Linked DNA regions of Callithrix jacchus. The protein of the gene in region 2 interacts with the protein of the main gene of each other region in a pairwise test. Links are inferred from orthologs where the notes say so. Each region holds a gene or a part of one and is shown on either strand. Other genes may lie near its edges. The genes, in order: STX11, PRPF31, TSGA10, PRICKLE1, PNMA1, MIPOL1 and CDCA7L.

What was found.
Region 1: the proteins of PRPF31 (region 2) and STX11 interact in binary tests that used the Homo sapiens proteins (3 or more experiments, as listed by UniProt). The two-hybrid records come from large-scale screens. The link is inferred for Callithrix jacchus from reciprocal best matches to the Homo sapiens genes PRPF31 and STX11.
Region 3: the proteins of PRPF31 (region 2) and TSGA10 interact in binary tests that used the Homo sapiens proteins (3 or more experiments, as listed by UniProt). The two-hybrid records come from large-scale screens. The link is inferred for Callithrix jacchus from reciprocal best matches to the Homo sapiens genes PRPF31 and TSGA10.
Region 4: the proteins of PRPF31 (region 2) and PRICKLE1 interact in binary tests that used the Homo sapiens proteins (3 or more experiments, as listed by UniProt). The two-hybrid records come from large-scale screens. The link is inferred for Callithrix jacchus from reciprocal best matches to the Homo sapiens genes PRPF31 and PRICKLE1.
Region 5: the proteins of PRPF31 (region 2) and PNMA1 interact in binary tests that used the Homo sapiens proteins (3 or more experiments, as listed by UniProt). The two-hybrid records come from large-scale screens. The link is inferred for Callithrix jacchus from reciprocal best matches to the Homo sapiens genes PRPF31 and PNMA1.
Region 6: the proteins of PRPF31 (region 2) and MIPOL1 interact in binary tests that used the Homo sapiens proteins (3 or more experiments, as listed by UniProt). The two-hybrid records come from large-scale screens. The link is inferred for Callithrix jacchus from reciprocal best matches to the Homo sapiens genes PRPF31 and MIPOL1.
Region 7: the proteins of PRPF31 (region 2) and CDCA7L interact in binary tests that used the Homo sapiens proteins (3 or more experiments, as listed by UniProt). The two-hybrid records come from large-scale screens. The link is inferred for Callithrix jacchus from reciprocal best matches to the Homo sapiens genes PRPF31 and CDCA7L.

What each region holds. Positions count from the first base shown.
Region 1 is NC_133505.1:150,902,368-150,906,417, reverse strand, and holds the start of STX11 (syntaxin-11), read right to left. Parts: upstream 2,801-4,050; 5' UTR 2,595-2,800; intron 1-2,594. UniProt on the Homo sapiens protein: SNARE that acts to regulate protein transport between late endosomes and the trans-Golgi network.
Region 2 is NC_133523.1:47,313,922-47,316,107, reverse strand, and holds the end of PRPF31 (U4/U6 small nuclear ribonucleoprotein Prp31), read right to left. Parts: intron 920-2,186; coding exon 794-919; 3' UTR 501-793; downstream 1-500. UniProt on the Homo sapiens protein: Involved in pre-mRNA splicing as component of the spliceosome. Required for the assembly of the U4/U5/U6 tri-snRNP complex, one of the building blocks of the spliceosome.
Region 3 is NC_133515.1:8,703,315-8,707,274, forward strand, and holds the start of TSGA10 (testis-specific gene 10 protein), read right to left. Parts: upstream 2,801-3,960; 5' UTR 2,791-2,800; coding exon 2,734-2,790; exon of another isoform or gene 2,682-2,733; intron 1-2,681. UniProt on the Homo sapiens protein: Plays a role in spermatogenesis. When overexpressed, prevents nuclear localization of HIF1A.
Region 4 is NC_133510.1:33,196,178-33,199,677, reverse strand, and holds part of PRICKLE1 (prickle-like protein 1), read right to left. Parts: intron 2,848-3,500; coding exon 1,984-2,847; intron 1-1,983. UniProt on the Homo sapiens protein: Involved in the planar cell polarity pathway that controls convergent extension during gastrulation and neural tube closure.
Region 5 is NC_133509.1:108,629,448-108,633,402, forward strand, and holds PNMA1 (paraneoplastic antigen Ma1), read right to left. Parts: upstream 2,801-3,955; 5' UTR 2,082-2,800; coding exon 1,020-2,081; 3' UTR 250-1,019; downstream 1-249.
Region 6 is NC_133509.1:71,918,496-71,921,995, reverse strand, and holds part of MIPOL1 (mirror-image polydactyly gene 1 protein), read right to left. Parts: intron 2,644-3,500; exon of another isoform or gene 2,571-2,643; intron 957-2,570; coding exon 725-956; intron 1-724.
Region 7 is NC_133512.1:36,210,665-36,214,744, reverse strand, and holds the start of CDCA7L (cell division cycle-associated 7-like protein), read right to left. Parts: upstream 2,801-4,080; 5' UTR 2,691-2,800; coding exon 2,667-2,690; intron 1-2,666. UniProt on the Homo sapiens protein: Plays a role in transcriptional regulation as a repressor that inhibits monoamine oxidase A (MAOA) activity and gene expression by binding to the promoter.

The DNA.
Region 1 (4,050 bases), on a different chromosome or scaffold from region 2:
GTCAAACCTGGGCCAAATTCAGGGAGTACAATGCTGAATAATATACTCCACTCTTTCTTCCTCATAGAAAAAGTAACCTTAGGGGTCTCAAAGGAGGAAGAAAGTTTGGAAATTAAGGCCAATTTGTCTCCAATTTAGCATTGTTACCTTTACTAGTTGGGTATCTTAGCAAACTGGGGAAACTTGGAAACCTTGATACTTGGGCATCAAGTCTAAAAGCCTCTCAGCAGATTTCAATTGCAACAGTAAACTGTGATACAGTATGTTTATGCATTTGGGCTCATATGGCTATAACGTGCTAAAAACATTGATTTGAACTGCAAAAACAATGATCAGAAACTTGCCTCAATATAGTGTTATCAATTTATAAACTATTAGGCAGGGCATGGTGGCTCACACCTGCAATCTCAGCGCTTTGGGAGGTCAAGGTGAGCAGCTCACCTGCAGTCAGGAGTTTGAGACCAGCTGGGCCAACAGGACAAAACCTTGACTCTACTAAAAATACAAAAACTAGCCGGTTGTTGTGGTGGGAGCTGGTAGTCCCAGCTACTTGGGAGGCTGAAGGACGAGAATTGCTTGAATGCGGGAGGTGGAGATTCCAGCAAGCCAAGATTGCGCCACTACACTCCAGCCTGGGCAACAGAGTGAGACTCTCTCAAAACAAAACAAAACAAAACAACCTATTAATTAGTCATACTATTTTCTAAAAGTCATGCTGTTAACTAAAGGTGACTGCAATTGTCCAGGGGTGATAATCAGCTGAGTTTAGTTTCACATGGTTATTAAATAGTATGAAATATGGTTCATTCAAATGCTTTAAAAACCATACCTTTCTAATTCATATTTTTTAAATCATGTATCAAATGAAGAATAGGCTGCCTACAAAGACAAGTAAATGAGTCAACTCAAAAGCTTCCTCGCTTTTCCAGCCATGACCCAGTCCATTCCAAATCCCAGATCTGCAGAAACATCAGTCATATTGGGACAGAAACTTCACTCTGGGCATAGATGTACCCTAGCACATATATAATGGATTTTCCAGTGTATTTAAATAAACTATTATTTAGTCACACTATTTCCTAAAAGTCACACTATGAACTAAAGGTGACTGTAATTATCTAGGGGTAGTAACTGGCTGTTTAATTTTTAAATACACTGGGACCCAGCTTACTGAGTTATATTGGGACAGAAACATCCATCTGGGTGTAGATTTACCCTAGCAGCTTGTCAGCAGGATCCTTTTATTCCTAGTTGCACAAGCAAGGTTCAGAGAAGAGGCTGGCACAGAGAAGGTGCCTGGTAACTGTTGTTTGGGGCTGAACTCAGCTCAACTCAGCTCCAGTAGAGATGGTGCTCCCTTTTCTATCATGTTGAGAGCCTGTGCAGACCTTGCCTAAGCGCTGCTACCCACTACAATGGGACCTGTGAGTTTCAACTTTTAAATTTCTCTGCTCCTGCTGGGACCTACCCACTTCAAAAATCGTCGTGTGGTTTTAGCATCAATTTAGTAAATACAAATTGTTAGAAATATTTTGATTTTAGAGAGTTACAGTCACCACATTAAATGATACATTTCTACCATGCAGTGAAAATGAGGACAAAATGGTCACTAGATACTGAAATTAATTTTCCCTTGGGCTTCTGTGGCAAAGCACATGATTTTAATGGTTATCTTAGATCAGCCCAGTGACCTTTACTGGCATGTTGTAACATCAGGCGCCTTAGGAAACTGAAAACTCAAATCATCACTACCCATACCACTGCCCCAGGTTAGCAGGGCAGGCATTTCACATCTAGAGCCTCATTTTAAATACAGACAGAGCAAGCCTCGCTTTTCAAAAAGTTCATTAACAAAGTCTCACAATTAAGAGAGCAGCCGTGTGACTCATTTTTGGATACCCGTAAATAACAACTCCTCCCTTTGCTGAGAAACGGCTGAAACAAGTGCGTGAGAACCACAGGAAGTAATACAGAGCTCAGCTGGTGTCAGAGGAGTCTAGAAAAAGGCAGAATTCCCTCTTGGACAGAGTGGTTCTCGCAGGATTGCCACTACCCTTCCTCTCCATTTTTCTAAAACAAAGTCTTATGTGGGCTTTGAAGGGACTGCTCCAAGGCTCTATCAATTTCTCCGTCTCTCCCGGCTTCTGGGTGACAGTGCCAAGTTCAAGTCAAGAGGTACCCATTCTGGTGTTTTTGACACAGTCACCCTAATAGGAAATGAAGAGGTGATAACAAAGAAACACTTCAGCCTTTCAACTTAAAGGTAGTCTTAGGTGGACGCTTTATAAAGGCAGCCTACCAACGGGTATCCCTAAAATAATTCCTATGAAGCGCTAAATTCTCAGTCCCTTGGCCTCTGAAATTAAAAGTAATTCAAAAAATATCATTCCGCTTTATATGAGAAACCCAGTGCTGTGTTCTCGAAGGTGCCCAGAGGCGGCGTGAGGCCCTGCACCAAAACCCACTAAGGCACCGCCGCGGATCCGGAGCCCAGACAGTGTCCCCGCCCCGGCCCGCCCACCTCCCCGCACTCTCCGCGCACCGGGAATAGGTAGAGAAATGGGGAGCTCAGGGACAGAAAAACAAACCAGTACCCGGAGCGAGAGTTCGAACCGAGAAGCCCCTATCCCGGCCGGGCGCTCGTCCCCCGTGGGCGCCGCGTTGGGGAAGGAAACCTGTTGCGCGACTCCCGGCGGCTCGGCTCCCGGCGCCTCCCGCGTCCCCTGCGGCAGAGGCTGGGCTCCTTCACTGCGGCCCGAGCTCCGCCCCGCCGCGGCCGCATCTGGGCGCCGCCGGCTCTGCCCTAGCCGCTTAGGAAGCGACCACAGCTGGGGACAAGGCCCCGCCCCGGGATGACAGCGCCGGGGCGCGGCGGCTCGCGGAGCGCAGGTTCCCGCCCCGCCCGGAGTCCCTGCGCTCGGGACCGCCCGGAGCCGGGGACGCGCTCCAGCACCTCCCGTACGTCTCGGGGAGTTCCCGCGGGCGGAGCGGACCCTCGCGGGGAGTGGGAGGTTTGCAGCCAGAGGCACTTCCTCTGCTCATCCTCCGGTTCCTAGGGCAGGGAGCGCGGTGGACTTTCCCCGGGAATCCCCGCTGCGCTGATGACATTTGCCGTCCGGTGCGTTTCCGCGGCGAGGACGGTGGAAGCGGTCTCTGAGCGTGGGTGTGGCTGCCGAGGCTGCAGCAGGTCCTGCACCCCCTGGACCTTCCAGGAGGCGGGCAAGGAGCCTGCGGTCACACAGCGGCCGACCACCGCCTTCCCAGAACCCGGCGGCCAACCCCTCTCCAGTCGGCCTCAGGACCCTACGGGCTCATCATTCCCTGGATATTAGCTGAGCGTCCCCTTGTGTGCCCAGGGTACCACCGCTCTCAAAAATACTGCCAAGACCCCCCCTCCAGGTCCTGGCACTTTAATGGGGAGACATAAACAAAGTGTGGATTGTGCCAGGTGGCGGTAAGCACCTTGAAAAACAAAGGTGAGGCTGAAAAGTAAGTGAGATTCAAAAAGGGAAATCGGGCCAGGCGCGGTGACTCGCGCCCATAACCTAGCACTTTGGGAGGCTGAGGTGGGAGGATCGCTTGAGCCCAGGAGTTTGAGACCAGTCTGAACAATATGGTGAAAGCCCATCTCTACAAAAAATACAAAAATTAGCTGAGCATGGTGGCGCGCCTCTGTGGTCCCAGCTACTCGCGACGCTAAGGTGGGAGGATCACTTGAGCCCAGGAGGTCAAGCATGCAGTGAGCCTAGATCCTGCCACTGCACTTCAGCCTGGGCAAAAGAATGAGAAGGAAAAATAAAAATAAAAAACGAATCCTGCCTTGATGGGAGAATGTTTAAACACAGAACTACCTGAAAGAGCTCCCAGTTGCCAAAGATGGAACCATTTGAGCAACGAAGTAAACTAAACAAAGTCTTATTGGATTAAAAGCCAAAGTAAAAAATATCCATGAGTCTACACTCATATAAATAAATAATTGAATAAATAAATAAAAGGCAGAGAGGAGACAAATCTCCTACACAGAATAATTCCAAATAATTTATGTAGATC
Region 2 (2,186 bases):
TGCGACCCCATCTATAAAAAGTTTCAAAATTAACCAGGAACTGTGGCATGCGTCTGTAATCCCAGCTTGAAACCAGGAGTTTGAGGCCGTAGTGAGCTATGATTACATCACTGTACTCCAGCCTGGGCGACAGAGGCCTCATCTCTAAAAAACACCAGTAACAGGACCCAGTTATTGGGTGCTGACGCGAGCCCTGTGCTAAGTGCTTTCTGCGCGTTCTTTCCAGCCCTGGGTGCCTGGGCGTAGCTGTGGAGGCTCGGAAAGGCGAGGCAACCGGCCTGAGGTGCCAGCGCAACCTTGGTCAGCCTGCGCTGAGATCTTCAGGTGTCGGCTGCCACACCGTCTGCTATCAAAGCGACTGAGGTTCTCCAGGGGGTTGGTGAGAAAGGAACAGGGGAGGGAGTGCGCCCCGGAGGCGAAGCTCTTTTCCCCAAACTCCGAAGCTCTGACTATTCTAGTTGCCCCAGCTGTTTGAAAAATGATCACTCCCCAAGGACAGATCTTGATAATGTGCTTTTTAATTGCACTCTCTTCAAAAAAGTATCTCCTTTCTCAGTTAAAATAAAAAAGACAAGGCATGAAGACCTGCTCTAACCCATCCAGGGCGGTGAGCTCCATCCTGGAGGAGGCCGGGCCAGGCTTCTTCCGAGGCCCCTCCCTGGGCAGTCGAGCACCGGGTGGGCGGCAGGGAAGGCTCTCCCTGCCACAACCCCTAACCCCCATCCCAGCCCTTCAGAAGGCCTGGACTTCAACGTCCCTTCAGTGGGAAGCCACGTTGGGCACACGCTATCATTCAGGTAGACATGAGGCCACTCTTCTCGCCCTTGACCTTGAGGAACTCTGCCATGCTGGAGAAATACTTCTGATTGGCCTCAGCCACCTTCTTCTCCGCGGCCTGTGGGTTCACAATCTCCAGGCCCTAGGCAGGTGAGGGAGAGAGGATGATGTGTTGGGCAAGGAGAAGGCCCCAACTGACACGCCAGAGCCCCCCAGGCCTTTCCCCGTGGTACTCAGGCCTTGGGTGGGCATGGGACAGTTTGCCAGTCCCTGGAGTCGCCCTGCCTTGGAAGATTCTGCCTCAGTGGGTCTGGGGGGAGAGGGTGGGGAGAAACCAGGGCACCTAGGTTTTTAACAAGTTCCCCAGGGGCTGCTAAAAACACCAGTGCCTGAGGACAGCCAATCCTGCTCAGTTTCTGGATGAGGAAACTGAGTCTCTGGGGGATGTGGCTGGCTGGAGGTCCCAGCACAAATCACACCAACACTACTGATGATCACAGTGTCCAGCGATAGACGCCGGCACCTGGCTGGAACTTCCTAAATATTTTCAAGGCCTGGGCAACAGAGCGAGACTCTGTCTCTAAAGAAAATAATAACAGGCTGGGCGCGGTGGCTCAAGCCTGTAATTCCAGCACTTTGGGAGGCCAAGGTGGGTGGATCACAAGGTCAAGAGATCAAGATCATCCTGGCCAACATGGTGAGACCCAGTCCCTAATAAAAATACAAAAATTAGCTGGGTATGGTGGCAGGCGCCTGTAATCCCAGCTACTCAGGAGGCTGAGGCAGGAGAATTGCTTGAATCCAGGAGGCGGAGGTTGCAGTGAGCCAAGATTGCACCACTGCACTCCAGCCTGGCGACAGAGTCAGACTCCGTCTCAAAAAAAAAAAAAAAAAAGAAAGAAAAGAGAAAATAAGCACAGGACCTGTCATCAGGCTCCACCAGCAAGTGCAGGACCAAGTGCCTTCTGTGCACTCCTTTTTCAGAACTGAACACCTCATAACATGGGAGTGGAGGCAGGGAAAGGTGAGGCCCTCCCTGGCTGTGCTAGGACGAAGGCCTCCCTGTCCCACCTCCCACGTCCTTCCCTCCCTGGTATTTCTGCCTTTTACCACACTGGGCATCTTACTGATCTGTCTGTGCCCAGCCACCCACAGGCTCCAGGAAGGCAAGACTTGTCTCTCTCATTCACCGCTTCACCCCCAGAGCCGAGAGCACCGACAGCCGCTGTCTGAGCAGATGAGCTCCCCACTGTCCCACAGCCACGGTGCAGGCTCGCCCTGCTCTGTGGATGGCAAACCGCGGTGCCGATGGTGCGGTGACTGCCGTGCTCCAAGCCACTCACTGCTGACTGGGCTGGGGGCCAGACCCACACGTGACACCCAAGCCCACCTAGCTGGGAACTGTTTCG
Region 3 (3,960 bases), on a different chromosome or scaffold from region 2:
ACTAAAAATACAAAAATTAGCTGGGCACGGTGGTGGGCCTATAATCCCAGCTACTTGGAAGGCTGAGACAGGAGAACAGCTTGAGCCCAGGAGGCAAAGGTTGCAGCGAGCCGAGATCACGCCACTGCACTCCAGCCTGGGAGACAGAGTGAAACTCCATCCCCGCCCCCCCCCAAAAAAAAAAAACAGAGGCATAGTCTTTAGAAGGTGATTAGGTCATGATGAGTTGCCCGTATATTATAGTACCCAGAAAGCTTCCTCACCCCTTCTAATGTATGAGGACACAGTCTGAAAGTATCATCTATGAACAAAAACACAGGCCCTCACCAGACACTGATTCTACTGGCAACTTACTTTAGAATTCCTAGTCTTCAGAACTATAAGAATTAAATTAATGTTGCTTATATATTTCACTATAGCACCCTGAATGGACTAAGATATGTGCCAATAGCATTCGACTTCAAGTCCCCTGCTCTTGCTTTCCCTCTCTCAGGAACCCTTTTTACCCAGCCCTTCACATGGCTATCTTCAACTCTTTGGCTGAAATGTCAGGTCTTCCCTGACTTCTTACCTAAAGTAGCCTCTATCCCAGTCACTCTCTCAAATAAGTGATAAGCTATTTGCACTTATCACTTCTTGAAATGATATCATTTATTTGCTCACTTGTTTACTGTCTGGCTCCCCCTACTGGCATATAAAATTCAAGAGCCCTAGGCTTTTTGTCTTTTGTTATATCCCTATTGCTTTAAAAGTGCCCAGCACAAAGTTGAAACTCAGTAAAACATTTCCAAAATAAATTTTAATGATTCAAACAAAGCAGTTTCAATGATGGGTGAAAACAAGTCTGAAGAGGACTAATTTATTAATAAATGTAAACTTCTTTTAGGAAGCATGATTGTGAGAGGAAGACAGGTATAGCAAAAGGTGGAAGACGACCAAGGTTACGGAAAGGTCATTACAAAAGGAGAAAAACTTGCTCCTTAAATCTCTTTACATAAGGATCCTCTTTCAGAATTAAAGATGTATTGCCCTGAGACAAGAAAAAGCAAGGATACATGAAGATTTAGACACTCGTAATCTCAATAATCTCAGCACCTTGGGAGGCCAAGGCCAGAGAATCACTTGAGCCCAGGAATTTGAGACCAGCCTGGACAACATAGTGAGTCCCTGTCTCCACAAAAAATGAAAATGAAATTAGCCAGGCCTGGTGGCACCCGCCTGTGGTCCCAGCTACTTGGGAGGCTGAGGTAGGAGAATAACTTGAGCCCAGGAGATCAAGGTTGCAGTGAATCATAATCGCACCACTGCACTCCAGCCTGGGCAACAGAGTGAGATATTTTGGGAAACAATCAGCAAACTAAATACTGCAAGCAGCAATAAAGATTAACCTTAACAAAATGTTGAGTAAAGAAGCAAGATGTAAATGAATACTTAGTACAAATTCTATTTAGAGGAAGTTCAAAAACAAGCCAAACTATAATGTGCATGTTCACATACAATGATGTGAAACATTAAGGAAAATCAAGGAAGTGGCTATCTCTGGGGAGAGAAAGGAACATGTAATCTGAAAAGGTGATATACAGTAATACCTCTAACTGCCTCGGTGTACGGAGGACTTCAAAACCAAATTGTCCTAAACAAACTAGTCTAAGCAACTGAAAAAGAAGACAGAAAAGAGCCCCCAGTGAATCTCTACACCTGATTATATTCTGGGCTACAAGCAGTGATTTTTCTTCAGAAGGTAAACAATGCGTGAAATATTTTGGAAGCTGCCATTAAATAATGCCGAAGTTTATTATTTAAAATTAATATTTCATTAATATACCTTCCTAGTTATCACTAATTAAGACTGAAGAGTTTGGCTAATTAATCAATTAAAATACAAACAAGAATTTGTTTTATCCTGGAGGCAGATTCGAAAGAGGCATTCTACTTACATATTTATAGCTAACCTGTTTTTTTCCTACTTACAAACCGATTGTTATTCTATTTATGTCCTCACACGTAAACAAAGCATATTTGAAATGCTGAAAACCAGTAGAGAACATTTTAAACAAGGAAATTTCCTAGGATAAAAGGGACTGGAATGGAAGAAGGAAAACGCTGGGACACTGTCATCTATGCAAACTTTCCTGAAGCCTCGGGAAAAAAATGTGAAAAAATGTACTTATTTCTGTGAGTTTTTAGGTATCAAGTCCATGATCATCTAGTTATTCAATTTAAGTCTCAAATATGTTTTCAACAAAAGCCAGCTTTCCCTGCCTTTACTGTGTACAACTCTTGCTGAAATTTATCTGAGATTTCCATGCAAATGCCTACGTAATCTCGGTCTTTTACCACCCCAAGTCTAGAAATAGGCTCAGAAGTGAGCGATTGGGAGTCAGGTTTGACTCCCAAATCTATGACTTCCAAATTCCTCGCTCCACCAGAGCGTTTCTAAATAAAACAGTACCCCCAACAATCAAGCGGAAAGCTGCGGCAGGACGCAAAGCGGTGACCATAGGAACTGGGCTTCAGCCTAACTTCCCAAGAAACAGGGACAACGCGTGCTGCTGAGCTTCCGGCCCGCAGCAGTGCCCGCTGCCGCCCCTCACAGCGGCTCCCCCGGCTCCTGCCCACCTCCTCCCGCCACGGCCCACCACCCGCCACTCCCGCCCGCTTGCAGCTGGCTTTTCGGAGACCTTCCGGAGCAGGAGCAGCTCTCCCCACCCTGCGTATCTCCGCAGCTTCTACCTGGAGCTCCGGGTCCCTCCCCGAGCTCCTTGGCCCGATGTCCTCCCCAGAGCTCATCCCCGCGACTGCCACCTCTCGGCCTCCGCCGGGGATACGAGAACCGCCCCATCTCCATCCTCCGCCCCTTTTTCCTCCCTTCCCACCCCCAAATCGTCCTGGCCCCGCCCCAGCGGAGTCGGAGGAAAGAGGGAGCCTGCGCGAAGGAGGCGGGGGCGGTTAGCGCCATCCGGCGCCGCCGTGGCCCCGCCCTCACGATCTGTACCGAGTGGGGCTCGTCTTCTACCTCCCCGGCGCCCCAGCTTTGCTTCCGTCCCACGCGCCCCTAGGCTCCGTGCGCACGCGTACCTGGCTCGACCTTCCCTCTCGCGCTGGCTACAAGCCGTGTGCGCGCACCTACGCACAGAGCGACGCGTACTTCCACCTGCCTGCCTTACAAGGCGCCTTGGAGGGGCTTCTTCTTGGCCTGTTCGCGCCGCGCAGGCGCACGCCCACGCAGCGCCTAGACGCCCGACCCGAGCGTTCCGTCTCCTAGTAACCAGCCGCGAGCCCCCTTTTCCAAGATTCATTTTTTATTTCCTGCTCGTGGCGGCCGCACGTGTATAAAACGCGCATGCGCAAGGCTGTCTGTCGCCGCGCCTCCTACCTGCAGCTTGGAACACCTTCGCGGCGGTGGCTTTGTGCCACTTTTCTCAGGGCTTGGACGTCATTCTGGACTCACGTTCAGTGAACCGGTTACTCCCAGAGTTGCAGCCAGGGCCCATTTTGAGGGAGCCTTCCAGGTCCAGTCCTCCCGCTGCAGCCTGCTGGTAGCAAGCCAACCTGTCCGGGTGAGCACGGGCAGACTGCAATTAGGGGAGCCTGGGGACCACCGTCTCAGTCAGCTCTGCTCGATCTGGGCTGAATCAGAAAGTGGCAGAACTAGCAAAGAAAGTCCAGATTCCTGACCGATATTCCTTTTCCACATGCCAGTCCTTTTCCAAATTCCCTTACCTTAAAGTGGACAAATGAGCTTTTTGGTGAAAAAGAATGAGGGCTGCATTCTACCATTTTTTTGGAGCCCAGCATGGAAAAAGTCTTCTTAATATCTACCATATCCCTTCTTAAATAACCCAAGAGTTTTTGGATGATAATGGTGACTTTATCACCTTTTCCTACAGATGACGTAGATACTGGGTTTTTACAGCAATTCTCTGATGACCTTGATATGGTAGAACGCTGTGTATTTCA
Region 4 (3,500 bases), on a different chromosome or scaffold from region 2:
AGCCTAACAGACTGTAAATGACAAAGGGAGTGGTGTGAATGTTTGTCAACTGGAGACTATATAACTTCCTACTTTTTAAGGGGAGCCTATTTTTCAGCTCATTATTGTCAAGGAATGTCAGGGCCAAATTATGTTTCTTTTCTTATTTGAGACAGAGTCTTGCTCCGTCGCCTAGGCTGAAATGCAATGGTGTGATCTTGGGTCACTGCGACCCCTGCCTCCCAGGTTCAAGTGATTCTCCTGCCTCAGCCTCCAGAGTAGCTGAAATTATAGGCAGGTGCCACCATGCCTAGCTATTTTTTGTATTTTTAGTAGAGACTGGGTTTTACCATGTTGGCCAGGCTGGTCTCAAACTCCTGACCTTAGGTGATCCACCCACTTTGGCTTCCCAAAGTGCTGGGACTGCAGGTGTGAGCCACTGCACCTGGCCAAATTATGTCTATTTCTAATATTAAATTTAAAACTCTTGGCACTAGGCCTGGCAGAGAGTCTCACCCATCATTCTTCCTCAACTCCCCTTTATTGTAGTCCTTATCTTTGACAAGTCCGCAGAAGCCAGGGGCGGGGGCAGGTAGCAGCTTTATCTTACCCCTCCTTGTCACTGCAGTGTCTGCACAAGTCACTCCTGGCAGGAGGCAGCTACTAAGCCTTTCCTGTCTACATTAAAGAAAAATTACCTTCATGAAAGGGCTGGACATCAGTAGTTTGACTATAAAACCAGCCATGCAACAGAAACATTTCTATAATCCAAAGACTTGCTGGGAATAAGTTTCATAATCTCCTGGGTTCTAGGTCCAATCTTGCCTTTAGAACCTATGTAAGGTTGGGCATTTAGCCTTTTGGTAATTCAAGTTTCCTCATTTGTAAAATGCAGTTGTATCATCCACTCTATACAGCTCAGGGTCATTTTAAAGATAAAATGTGGATGATTGATATGACTGTATTTTGAAAACATTAAAGTAGGCCAGGGGCAGTGGCTCACACCTGTAATCCTAGCACTTTGGGAGGCTGAGGCAGGTGGATCACCTGAGGTGAGTAGTTAGAGACCAGCCTGTCTCACGAAAATTAGCTGGGTATGGTGGCAGGCGCCTGTAATCCCAGCTACTCATAAGGCTGAGGCAGGAGAATCACTTGAACCCAGAACCTGGGAGGCCGAGGTTACAGTGAGCTGAGATCACACCACTGCACTCCTGCCTGGGCGACAAGAGTGAAACTCTGTCTCGAAAAAAAAAAAGTAATTATTTTATAATCTAAATAAAAAGTATTCAGCTATTTTGAGCTGCTGTCACAGGACAATACAGGAAGATGTTAAAATATGAGCTTGTAAAGTGTTACGGCCAATTTTGGTATCTTGAAATCCATACAGCATAATCCAAGTATACAATATCTTTCAGACACAATCCAGTTGTAGACGCCTTCATCCAATCAATTTCCTTCTCTTCAAAACAGGGATAATAAAACCTGTCCCTAAAGACCGTACTGTAAATATATTTTATGCATATGCACTCACCTGTACACGTTTGTTTTGCTAGTGTTTGGTATTTAAGTGAAATTCCTTCCTTCCCTTGATCCATGGTTTTCAATAACATACAATTCCTACTCATGCTGAATTGCAATTTTTTTTTTTTTGAGATGGAATCTCACTCGTCACCCAGGCTGGACTGCAGTGGAGCAATCTCTGCTCACTACAATCTCTGCACCTGGGTTCAAATGATTCTCCTGCCTCAGCTTCCCGAGTAGCTGGGATTACAGGCACCCGCCACCACGCCCAGCTAATTTTTGTATTTTTAGTAGAGATAGGGTTTCACCATGTCGGCTAGGCTGGTCTCAAACTCCTGACCCCAGGTGATCTGCCCACCTCAGCCTCCCAAAGTGCTGAGACTACAGGTGTGAGCCACCATATCCAGCTGGAATTGCAATTTTTTGAACACACTTTGTAGCAGCTCCTTTTTTCAAATACTCCATAATCCCCAGATTACATACCTGTGATATTGGACAATGCCAAAGAATCCATCGAATCCCGAACACTTTGCTCTGGTTTCAGGTCTGACAGACACTCCAGGGAATCTTCATACCACTGTGTTTCATTGTGATTATACCCTGAAGCCCCATGGTCCAGATCCAGTTCCTGGAGCCTTCTACTGCTTGCAGGGCCCGGGTGGCTGCCATAAGCAGAATCACCCAGTCCATCTTGTGATTGTGCCCAGTACATATCAGACTGGTATTTTTTACTTGCAAGGCTCTGGTTATTTTGCTTTAACTCAGTCTTATTTTTAACCACGTTATCAGATATCCAATGCTCATTGGCTCGAATATCCATCTCATTGGGCTGTGGCTGAAAGAGGCTTTTATCACCAAACTTGAGGAGGAGCTGTGTCATATAATCTTCATGGTCAGCCCATTCTTCAGGGTCTTCTGGAGTTTCATGTTCTACTCTGCCTTTCCAAAATTCTTCACTGGCAAAACTTGTTCCTTGCCTGGAGAGACTCAGATCATCCAATTTTCGAGAAAGGGTGTCATCAGCATTGCCTGAGAGGCCAGGAAACTTGTAGTTCAGAGCAGGGGATAAGAGAAGAGACTGTCTACACTGATCTGCTGACCGACTGCTCTTGCCCATTCGGACACTTCTTCGGGAATCTCTTGATCGAGCTGACTGAAATGCAGAGTCGGAAGAATCAGAGGCATGGACGTCTTCACCGAGACTGCATGTTTTTGAACAGTAAATCTGACCCTGTTTGGGAAGGAAGGGACATCCCAACAAAGAAGCTTTACACTGGGCACAGGAAAAGCATGCTTCCGTGGCATGCCAGTGCTGCCCGTCATAGGTCATCTGTGCGTGGTCCACACCTGTTTTGAAAAGGATAGAATAAGTAACAGGTTATAGTTTATTGCCTGAAACAAGAAATAAGGAGGAAATGAAAAAAAATAAAGATTATGGGCATGGGGGAGCTCTCAAGGGTAATGGAAATGTCTGTATCTTGAGAGGGGTGTGGGTGACACATAAAATTAATCCGAATTCTTTGTGGATTCTGTATTTGTGAATTTGCCTACTTATTAAAATTTATTCATAACCCCAAAACTGATATTTGCAACACTTTCATGGTCATTTGCAGATGTGCAGAGTGGTAAAAACATGAATTGAACCAACACGCATCAATCCAAGAGATGCTCTGCCTTTTGTTTCGGCTCTCATATTGTAGACAAGTATCCTATTCCTGGTCTATTTACTGCCGTGTTTTCTGCATTTTTGTGCTTTTTGTTGGTGAGTTTCCTGCTTAAAATGACCCCCAAGTATAATGCTGAAATGCCGTCGTATTCCAAAGTACAAGAAGGCTGTGATGTGCCTTATGGAGGAAAGACATCTAATTAGATAAGCTCCTAATCTTGAGTACACTACTACTGGCTATGAGTTCAGTCTTAATGCATCAACAATGTGTATTCAATAAGGAGGTAGCTTTAAGGAAAAACACACGTGACGCAAGGTTATGTACTGATGAGTT
Region 5 (3,955 bases), on a different chromosome or scaffold from region 2:
TGGGAGTACTGAGTGGGAGATGGCAGTGAATGTGTAGAGCGTAGGAGGTGGGTGAGTGTGCACCTGATGCTGGTGGGAATGGAGGGGAAAGCTCTGTGAATGATGGGTAGTGGGTGAAGACATGCTGAGTGTCTGTGGTAAGTAAAACATATGGTTTGAGTTAATGACAGTCTTCATAAGAAAAATGGACAGAGTTTACTTAGGCTAAAGATGTTTGTACATGCCAGCAAAAGGAGAAGACAACAGAAATCGAAAAACATTTTTATTTCTGTATGTAACTTCAAATTTAGAACACTCAGAATTAGTATGAACAAGAACTATTTTCTGACAAAGATTTGAAATTGGGGAAGTGAATTACTCTAACAGGTGCACATCAACCTCTCCATGCAATTTACATCTGTATCTTATGCAGTGAAAAATGGGTTACACAGCTCCGTAACTGCAGTTTTTAACATCCCATTTTGCAGTATCAGAATACTTTTCAATTAAACTGATCCACATGTTTAAAGATGAGAAATAGTACGTTTACATTGTAAGGTTGAGTCATAATAAATGCACATTCCCTTCCATTAATAAAATCTGGAACAAGTTATGGTAGACAGAAAACTATCCACAATATCAGTAATCTAACAGTTCACACTTTTACTGAACACTTCCTGTGAGCCAGGCCCCGCAGTAAACATCTGAACATGCAATTTCACATTCAACGTGGAATAGAAGTGTCACAGGTTCACACGTTTTTCACAACTGATTATGATGGCCATGATGACCGCGTGCACTAAGCTCTGTGTCCAACCAGGTAAACGGCATTGTAGCCAGCAAGATCCGCTAGCAGCTCACAGTGCTTGCGTGCACAATTTTAGAATGTTACATGAATACTCAGGCCTGACAAATCCTGCCCTCCAAAAACAAATGTAACAGGACTAAGCCTTTACTACTCAGACACATCTGTAAGACCCCACAGGGACAAGGACAGTAGCTGTGATCTGGGTCTGCACTAAAGCTGCCTTTCCTGGGACTCAGAAGTGCCCTTCCAGGCCTAACTGCAGAAGGGTGGCCTCAGCCTCCTCCTCCTCTTCCTTGGCTTCCTCCTCACGGATCTGCACCAGCAACTCAAAGAGGTTTGGGGCCGGCCCTTCCCCAGCCCCGTTAAGCCACAGCTGCCTTCGGATGGCCCCGCTTTGGTTGGCCCCGGCAATGACCTGCTCTAGACGAGCCTGGTTCACATTATCTTTATCAATGGCCCCCTTCTCCACCACCTTCTGTAGCAGAGGCTCCAAACGAATGACATAAGCAGACAACTTTTCTCCCGGGTTCTGGTAAGTGTTCAGAAATTTGACCTGGGCATCCCTAGAGCTCTCAACGCTCCCAAACACCTGCTCAAGCGCCTGCAGGCATTCGGCAGTAGTTATCGCGGGGTTGTTGGTCTTGAGGATGCGAATGACATCAGCGGCGGGGCCTCTAAGACTCTCCATCAACCGCCGCCTCTTTTCTGCATCTGGCACCTGCCACTCCTCTAGGACCTCATTAGTGTGCTCCAGCCAAGGATCAAAGGTTTCCTCTCCAGGCCCTGGGATGTCCCTCCCCGAGAAAAGTGTCAGCTTCTTGTACCATATGGACTCAACAAGAGGTTGAATAACATTATCCAAAATATAGTTTAGCATCTCTGCTGGCATCTCTGGGACCGGGGTCGGAGTAGGGTTCTGAAACCCAAGGACACGGGCAACATCCTGCACGGTCCAGCCCTCTCTAGCTAGGAAGAGGTGCAATCTTTCTAAAAATTCAGCATCGGAAGTCGGGGGCTTAAAGAACACTTTCCAGACTCCTCCTTTGCCCGGCAACTCCCTGGGGATCGTGGCGTAATCGACAGCGCCAGTGAGCTCTAATAAGGCTGCTTTCGCATTTTCTTCCCTCCAGAACATTCTCCCAAGCACTCGGTAGGGCACCTGGGGCATCGCAGCCTGGAGGGTCTCTTCGATTTCAGCCTCATCACAGTTCACTGGGATGCCCCAGACCAACAGAGCTCTCTGGGAGTTCACATCCATTCCCCTGCACCAGTCTTCCAACAGTATCATCGCCATTTTGTCAACTATCAAGACGCTAATTCTACCAACAGACAGTGGCTCACCTTGCTCCTGGCCTTAGAACAACGCCAGACACTCCCCCCAAGTAGGCCCAAGGGAGGCGAGTTTCACGCAGTCACGATTAACAAAGACACAGAGTCCTGACCTCGCCCTTCCCTGCCCCCACAGTCAGTCAGTGGACGCACTTGGAGACGAGCTCGGAAACGCTGAGGCAGTCACGCAGCCGTCGCCATCTTGCGTCTGGGTCCGGGTCCGGGTCCGGGTCCGCTGCCAGCAGCCGAGGCGTCGCGTCGTCGTGGAGCGGGCAAGGAGCGAAGGCGGGCGGCGAAGGCAGGCGCGATGGGCCGAGAACCGCCGAGGTGTGGTCGTCGGGCGCTCGCGGCGGCTCCCAGAGAGGATCTGGCGTTCGCGGTCGCAGCCCGGTCTTCCGAGGGCGAGGAGAGGTCGTTTGGGAGACCCGGCACAGGCAGACTGTGCCGAAGTCGCGGCGGCTGCGGGCCAGCTGAGAGCGGCTTCTTGGCAGGAGCAGGGACTCTTCCGGGAGGGTGGCGAGGACCGCCGAGGACCAGAAACGAAGGCAACAGAGGAGCAGGAGAGCTGGCGAAGCTGGGCTGGAGACAGCAGAAGAGAGGATGAGCAGCGGCGGCCGCAACGATCTGCACTGCGCTGCTACCCAGACGTAGTGTCCTACCCGCAACCTGCGGCGATGTTACTGCAGCAGTGAAGGGTGGGGCCAGCCCGTGAGCGGCGTCTGCCCCACTCCGTCACGCCCCCGCGGCGGAGCCGCTCGGGTGTCGCCATGGCAACGGCTTCTCAGCCTGCACGAGACTCGTCTGCTCTGGCGGCCCACCGCGGGCGGGGGAGTGGGGGTGGGGCGGAGTCCAGCGGTTACCATGGTGCCCCGGGCACCTGTTTCTCTGATGGCGTAATTTTCTTCTTCTTTTTTTTTTTTTAAACAGAGAACAAAGACTGCTAAGCACCGTATTTTAAAAATAACCCAATCCTGGAGTGGACTTAAGATGATATTGTTGGAAATGCATCCCTCATGGTGGACTCATCTCAGATTGCTCAGCCAGTCCACCCTGCACGTGAGAATATCCTCAGAACCGTAGCTTCCCTGTTCCCCCAACCACACTCTGCACCCTGCATATTTCATCCCAACGCAGCCAAAATGTCGGCGTGTGCCATTTACGTATATTTTTGTAAGATACGGAGTTGCCTTTTTCTTGTCTAAAATTTTGTAAAAAAGATGTTTGTCTATGTCTACTCAGTCATCTTTTAGCCAGGTAAACATTAATATGTTATTTCCCTTTTCCTGGCTGGCATCATTGACAATAGGCTGCTAAAAGAGAATCCGTATGGTTCGAAAATGTTGAGTAATCTTTGTGCAAGCAAGACAAGACCCACTTACATCAATCCCAGATGGTGAAAATCCCAGAGAACACAGCATGCAACTCTGAATTTTTAAAACCTTATTTAATAAAAGGTTTAAAGATACAGAAGAACATTCAAAAGTAAATAAGTTACATAGGTACATTACAATCACATCAGCAAGATTCTTTAGTGTATTAATTTTTTTCTTATAAAAAGCACACAAAAAATAAAATCTTCAGTCTCTATCACAACTGTACAGCAAAAGAGGTAATATTTATATATATATGTACACTATTTTAATATGTAACAGTCTTTTTAAAAAAGGGTGCCACAGGCAGCAAACACAAAAAAGGCAGTGTCTGATCATTTGTTTCAAAATAAAAGGAATATACTTATTTATATGCTATTAAAATATTTGTACAATAATTACAGACTGTCAAGGCTGTTCCTGTGCTGTCCCTTCCAACAAGGCCTTCAACTTAGAGACAAATGAGGAA
Region 6 (3,500 bases), on a different chromosome or scaffold from region 2:
CGAAAAACAGTGCTAACCCAAACCAAAATGCATGTTTGGGCTTACCTTATCCTAGAGCTGCCAGCTTTTTACTTTCATGAATGATATTTCATGTATATCAATTTAACAGTTATTTTCAAATATATAATAAAACATCACAGAAAATAATATTGAACAAGATAGAATTAAATCTCACTGCCTTTCGTTAGATGCACGTTGTGCTTTTTCACTTAGTTAACTAGACATATTATATCCATATCACAGAAACAGTAGAAAACCCTGGTAGATCCCCCAAATTCTAATGAGTTTAGAATTAGTCAACTCCAAAAAGAATGAAAGAAGGAAAGAAGAAAAAAGGGAAGAAAGGAGAAAGGAAGAAAAAGTTCTTCTACTTTCCACTCTCTCTCTCTCTTTTTTTTTTTCTTGAGACAATCTTGCTCTGTCACCCAGGCTGGAGTGCAGTGGCATAATCTCAGCTAACTGCAACCTCCGCCTCCTAGGTTCAAGTGATTCTCATGACTCAGCCTCCTGAGTAGCTGGGATTCCAGGCATGTGCCACCACACCTGGCTGATACTTGTATTTTCAGTAGAGACAGGGTTTCACCATGTTGGCCAGGCTGGTCTCAAACTCCTGACCTCAAGTGACCCGCCCGCCTTGGCCTCCCAAACTGCTGTCATTACAGGCAAGAGCCACCACGCCCAGCCCCCATTCCTACTTTCTAAATCTAAGGCTGTGAGCACTTACTTGGATTTTTCAGTAGTACAGTAAACAGACTCATCATCTGGGTAAGAACTGATGATCTGAAAATTCCTTGATCTCTGCTCTGACCATTTTGTGTTCTCATAACTTATTTCATTAACTAATTCAGTGGATTTCTGATGCATATTTTCCTCAGAACTCACAGTCAGTTGCTCATCTGGCTGTGTACTTTTATTTATCCTTTTAGTTTCTTGTTCAAGATAACTGTGGGTTATATCTGTATTTAAACAAACAAACAAAATAACACATGATATATCAAACACTGTAACTATTTATTGATATTAAATCAATCAAATAAATATTTTTGGAAATACTCTCATAGCTTTAAAGATATAATTTCTAGTCTTATTTCTACTGTAATCACATAAGCATATACAGTGTGGTTTTTACCATTGAGACTTCCATTTCCACAGTCAATAGATAACTCTGCATTTTGGAATAACCTAAGGAGATTTCTTTTAAATCCTCAGAGCTTAAAAAATCTCTGGGAGTGAGACCTAGTTTAAATTTCTGAAGATCCCCAAATGATTCCAGCATACGCTCAAGGCTGAGAATCACTGATTTGGGGATATTATTTTCTAGGTGAACTTTTCTAGATTTCTGAAAATAGTATAAAATAATTATTATAGTGAAGAGTTAATATATGTGGAACTCTGGTATTAGACTGCCTGGGTTAGAATTCCAGCTTTGCCAAGTGAATCACTTTGGGCAAGTTACTCTCAGTTTCTTTTCTGTAAAATGGGTATATAATATTTGTTGTTAAGGACTGAGTTAACATACTCAAAATACTTGGCCTAGTGCCTGACACATCAATACATGTTAGTTATTATTTTTGTAATCATCGTCATAATATTAAAATAGACACAATACAAGGGAGAATGATTTCTAACCTTCATCTCTAGGATGTATTATACATCAGAGAAGATACTTTGCAATGCCTATCTCACAAAAATTATCTTAAGCTACTGCTAGTAAATAATGGCTATTTCAAAGGGACAATGTACATGTAATGACAAAGTAAAGTTTTGGGGAGAAAATGACACACAAATACGAACACAAAGCAAACTCATTCACTAGTAAATCAATTCAACAGGCCCCAGTACTGATTGTAACTAGTACTTCCTTATTTAGGGCAGAAATATTTCTTGAACTTTAAAAGGCAGATGAATCTCACCTGATTTTTGGTGGTGCCTTTTTAAATCTGCTAAACTTACAATCGTTGGAGGCACATACGAGTAGTTTTATTTTATTTTACCCTATTTTTTTTTAAGATGGGGTCTTGCTCTGTTGGCCAGGCTGGAATGTGGTGGTATGATTATGGCTCACTGTAGCCTCAACCTCCTGAGCTCAAGCAATCTTCTTGCCTTTGTCTTCCGAATGCCTGGAACTAGAGGAGTATGCCACCTTGCCTGGCTGATTTTTATGTTCTGTAAAGATGGGGTCTTGCTATTTTGCTCAGGCTGAGAGTTGTTTTAGAATTTAAACAAAAGGGGGCACTTATAAATAAAATACCTCTCATAAAAATATTCACTTTTTAAGAAAAAATTATTTGCTTGTATATTTGCTGAAATTAGGTATAGCCAGTTATGAACTCTAGATCTTGGACATTATTCTTATTGCTAGCTAGAAGCTAGATGAGTACATCTGTTTTTGGTAAATTACTCTCTATTTCACTCTGAAGAAATGAATTAGAAGAGAGAATGTCCTATCATAATTATACAGTATAAGAGAGCTGTGAACCTTCAACATTATATTAACTTAAATTTGACAGTTTTAGGAACAGATACATCTGAAGATCACTTGTTCATATTTGACATCTTGAAATTCTTACTTTGTTTGCATTAGATAGTCACCATGCAACTTGTCTGTAATAGGCTGCATTAGCATAATGGAACTCTCAAAATCTGAATGAGAAAAGTTTATAAATGGGCATTAAGGAAAGCCTCTATATCATTAATAGACTATGCTTTCTAACACATATAACACATAACATATAACATTGTAAATAACTCAAATGAAAAACAATCAGAAATAATCACTGAAAGCATTATCAAATAACAAAATTGCCCCTAGGGACATATTTCTTAAAAACTATTAGGCCCCCCACTCTTCTTCAGTTTATGAAGTACCATGTTTCTTCAAAAGGGAAAAGAATGGTCCATGGATCACTGTCAACTATAAAAGCCCCCAGGTCCCCATGACAGCCGCACAACTGCTTCAGACTCTTGTCCAGTGCTTTTCAACCTGTTCAAGACCAAATTTACCATTATCTAAAATTAATTCAGTATATTTTTTACTTTCAGTTTTTTATTCCTAACCTCCTGGTGTTGATCTTATCTCTGCTATTTAAATTCGCTATTTGTTTACTAGTTTTATAGTTCTCTTCCTTCAGCTATAACCTAATGTCAAATTTGTGATCTCCTGAACTCTTGATAAATCACCACTATTTTACTTGTGACCATACTATCTTCTTCAAACTTAGAGCAAATATGGAAGCTTCCCAATAAGAGCTTCCCAATAAGAGGACTCTGTTGATCCTTCCTGGGTCTTAGTAAATATAAGTCCTTGAAGTTTTATTACAATGCATCAATTTCTGACACACTCTAGACTTTCATTCTAAAATTTAATTTTAAATGTTTAATATTTTTTAAGAATCCATACTGTGTGACTTGACTCTATTTCTGGATATTTCTCATTTCGTTCAGTAGTAAAAACTTTTAGATTTCTAATTGAAAAGGCTCATCAGAAATTTGGAGCTTGC
Region 7 (4,080 bases), on a different chromosome or scaffold from region 2:
ACATTCAGTGCCTACCAGTTTCTCTCCGAGGGAGCTGCAGCAAGCTGGGGCTCCAGCAAGCTGCACTGTTGACAGCTCTTAGTAAGGGATCACACCCTTGTCTTTACGAGGTATTTCTGTCATCCTATATAAAAGCACAAAGACACAGTGGTCAGTTAGACAAGACTCCAGACTGTGGGAAGCGTAATCACTGTCACAGAACATCAAAACCAACACACAGGTGGAACGGCAGAAAAGTAGACTCAAAGGTAGTTCAGAGTAAATGCGTGTCTCCTTGTTTGCTTATTACTCATAACATTAGGCCCAAGCTGCTTTGCTGAAACACCGTCTAGCTTTGTGCTTTCCAAGGGATAAAAATTATACTTACTCCAATGTGTGAGATTAAAACCCACTGCACACTGAGCTGAACATTCAGCGTGCAGTAATGCCACTTCAGGCAGTTCATCACACTGCTTTATTCATAAGGCTGGAGGACAGGGTGGAACCACATGAATTTAACATCTTGCTGTGCCTGAAACATTCATTAAGTACTCTTATCTGCAGTCACCTGCTCACCCCATAGAACCACTCTCCACTAATTTAGAGAGTATAATCTGTTCACATTTAAATTACGATGAACAGGAACATTTCCACTGGAAAAAATCATCACACATCTTGATTTCAGCTGCCAATTAGGTCTTTAGAAAAGGAAAAAAAAAAACCCTCATCATCTTACATATAGTAATTTGCCTTAATTGGTGCATAAATGGATCGGATATAATTTGTGGGTAATCCCCACATGAAAAATAGTTTAACATTTTACAACTACCAAAAATTAGCCTCATTATGTAACATTCTGGGACTTCTGAGTTTCCTAAGCATGAATTATGAATATCAGTGGTAGAAGTGAAAAGAACTCTCCAGCCTAACAACAGGTTTCAGGAGTGACACATTCCAGATACGTTTTGTGATGAAATTCACAGGGAGCACAAATCTCCATCTGGAGGGTCTTGTTGTTGTTGTTTTCTGTCCTGCAGCAGCAGAAACTCCTAGAAGATTAGGATGCCGCTGGGTGCAGTGGCTCAGGCCTGTAATCCCAGCACTTTGAGAAGCCAAGGCAAGTGGATCACCTGAGGTTATGAGTTCAAGACCAGCCTGGCCAATATGGTGAAACCCGTGTCTACTAAAAAAAGGAAAAAAAAGCAAAATTAGCCGGGCACGGTGTGGGCGCCTATAATTCCAGTTGCTCAGGAGGCTGAGGCAGGAGAATCGCTTGAACCAGGGAGGCAAAGGTTGCAGTGAGCCGAGATCACACCACTGCACTCCCACTCCAGCCTGGGAAACAAGAGGGAAATTCCATCTCAAAAAAACAAAAAACAAACAAACAAAAGATTAGGATGCCAATACACAATAAAAGCCAGTGGCAAAAAATAAAAAAAAATCGAACCCCGTCTCATTCCCTAGGTTTTACTGTTTGTTTCCCTTGCTTTTAACAGTTTCTCTCACAGGAAGCACTTTACAAATACTCTTTCTCAGAAGCATCAACAAGATTTTTCTCAAACAACCATTTCAAGACGGCTTCAGAAATTACTTAAAGGCCAAAACTACCATTAGGGCCTCGGTCTTTGCCGCCAGACTCGGGCAGGTGACAGCGTCGGACACCTGGCACTCTGCGCCTTCCAACGCTAGGGGCCCCGCCTCCTCTTCTCCCCGGCTAGGCACGCAGGTGGAGGAAAGTAAACACGAGTAGACGGCAAGGTGAAAGTAGTGAATCTCGCGGCTCTCACAAAAACAAGTGGAAAAAGAAAAAAATAAAACTATTCTCGCACAAAGCATCTCTGCGCCCCCACAAGCAGAGGCGTGGCTGCTTCTCTTTTTAAAGATTTTACTTTTAGTTATTTTGAAAAATGTTTTTATTGCTTACCTCTAAGGAAAAAATATATCTCCATTACGATAAGGTAGAGAAAAGCGCTTTGAAGAAGTAAAAAGAGAAAGCTGAAGTCACGTTCACATTCCCACCACTCAGTGAAACCTTTGGGAGAACTTACTCAAGTGTTTGCTAATGAGTTTTAAAGGCTAGTTAGGCCCTTAACGCGTAATTGGGATCCTGCTGTGCCTAAGATTTGGGATCTTGCAGCTTGTCTGACTTGAACAATGTTGCTATTTCCCCCACACGATTCCTTAAAAACGTCTAGAGACGTTCTAGAACACTAAAGTTATTCTTTTTAAACTCCATTATCCAAGTTGGACTGGTCTGGCGATAGACTATCAGAAAAAAAAAAATACAACTTTCTTAAGCTTCCTGATATCTTTGCCAATTCCACGAGAAAGTGTGGGGAGCGGACAAAAAATCCCCTCCCCCGTCACACGAGGGCTGCAAACGCAGGCGCTGCGCCCCGCTAACTCCCCGCCTGCACCCCCGGCAGCCACCCGATACGGAACATAGCGCTACGCTGAGCGCGGCTGTGTGCGGGGGCACCCGGCCTCTCTGGTCCGCGTGGCACAAACGTGACCCACCGCGCACACCTGCAGGGCGCGCCCACTCCGGCACTCACACGGCTGGGCGCGCGGAATCGTCAGCGCCGCAGCCAAGGGCCACGTTTCCAGTCCAAAGCCAGTAAGACCCGGTCGCAAAGGAAAGTCAAGCTGTGGGTGCGTCCACATAACTGCGGGCGCCGAACCCTCACCTGGTAGCGAGTAGCCAACTCCATTCTTCCTAAAGAGGCTCCAGTCTCCTCCAAGCACTCGGCCACGGGAGCCGGGCCTCGCCACGGGCCAGACGCACCGAGAACTCCCCGGGGCCGAGCAGCCAGCACGCTCCGCCCGGAGCTCGGGCGGGACCCGGGAGGGGCGCACTCCGCGCCTGGGACAGGGGGAGCGCGTCGCGCTGCCCGCTCGGCGCCGCGTCGCTGAGCCTCGTGGCTCTTATCACTGTTTCAACTTCGCAGCCACTGAACTTCTTTTCGCAGGCGGCACGAGAGGGGCTGCAGTTGTGAGCGGCAAGACCAGTTGCCAGTGTTAGGGCGCCGGGCTCCCCCCTGCAGCGGAGGGAGGGAGTGGAGCCGTCCGGCGGTGTTTCGCGCGGGAGAAATGAGAGGGGGCTGTCCCGGCGCAGCCTCCAGCTGGCACGCGCGCTCGATACTTGGAAGGGTTTATTCCAGGTCCTGCCCTGGGGCGCAGGATTCTGAGCAACACCTGTCTCTGATCCAGGAAAATATTTTGTGGCGGCTTTGGGGCTTATTTTGTTTTGTTGTTGTAAAGGGGCAGGGTTCTCTTTGGGAGGATTCTGTCTCCTAAAACATTTACTACAGGGTTCCTTTTGCAAAACAAGCAACCCAGGTTTCTTTACCAAAGCCCAGGTGGAGAGCTGCAAACTCTCCTGAAACTTTAGATGGCCATTACACACAGTAGGCCTCCACCCCTACTAGGCAGAGAGTTTGTAGAGGTCAGGAATCCTGACTACTTAAGCAAAATTGACCCGGGCACCTACTGAGCATCAGACACTGGGTTAGGACAAGGAACACAAGGGAGAACAAAAACAGGCCCCTGCTCTGTTGGAGTTTACAGCCTGAGAGCCCGTTACCAACCTAATTGCATTATTCTAAATAAATAAAATAATGATGCAAATAAGTATAGTAATAATGATGATGTACATTTTATAAATTAGATGTATAATTAATTTGATACCATAATGTAATCGTGATGCAAAGAAATGTAACTTTGGAGTGATGATGCTATGAGAAGAAGGCGACTGTTCCATGGAGACAATCTGGCAGAGGTCAGGGAATAGTTCTTAGAGCTCAGGTATGAAGAGTGAGGAATTAAGTGGGTAGAGATTGTAGGAGACTTGAAGTAGAGAGTGGGGAGAATGGTCAATGAAGTGGTGCTGAAATCACAGTTTGCTGGACAGTGTTAAACACCTATTTAGAACTGTGGTCATGGGTTTACAGTAGAGCCTCCTGTATGCATAGGACCTTCTGCAGCCCCCCTCAGCTGCTTGGGATCTGATGTTCATCTTTTCTATATTGAAGGAGTGAATGAAATTTGCCAGACATTTACTCAAGCTTGAAGAGAAAACTTGGGAAAGATTTCCTTCCTTCT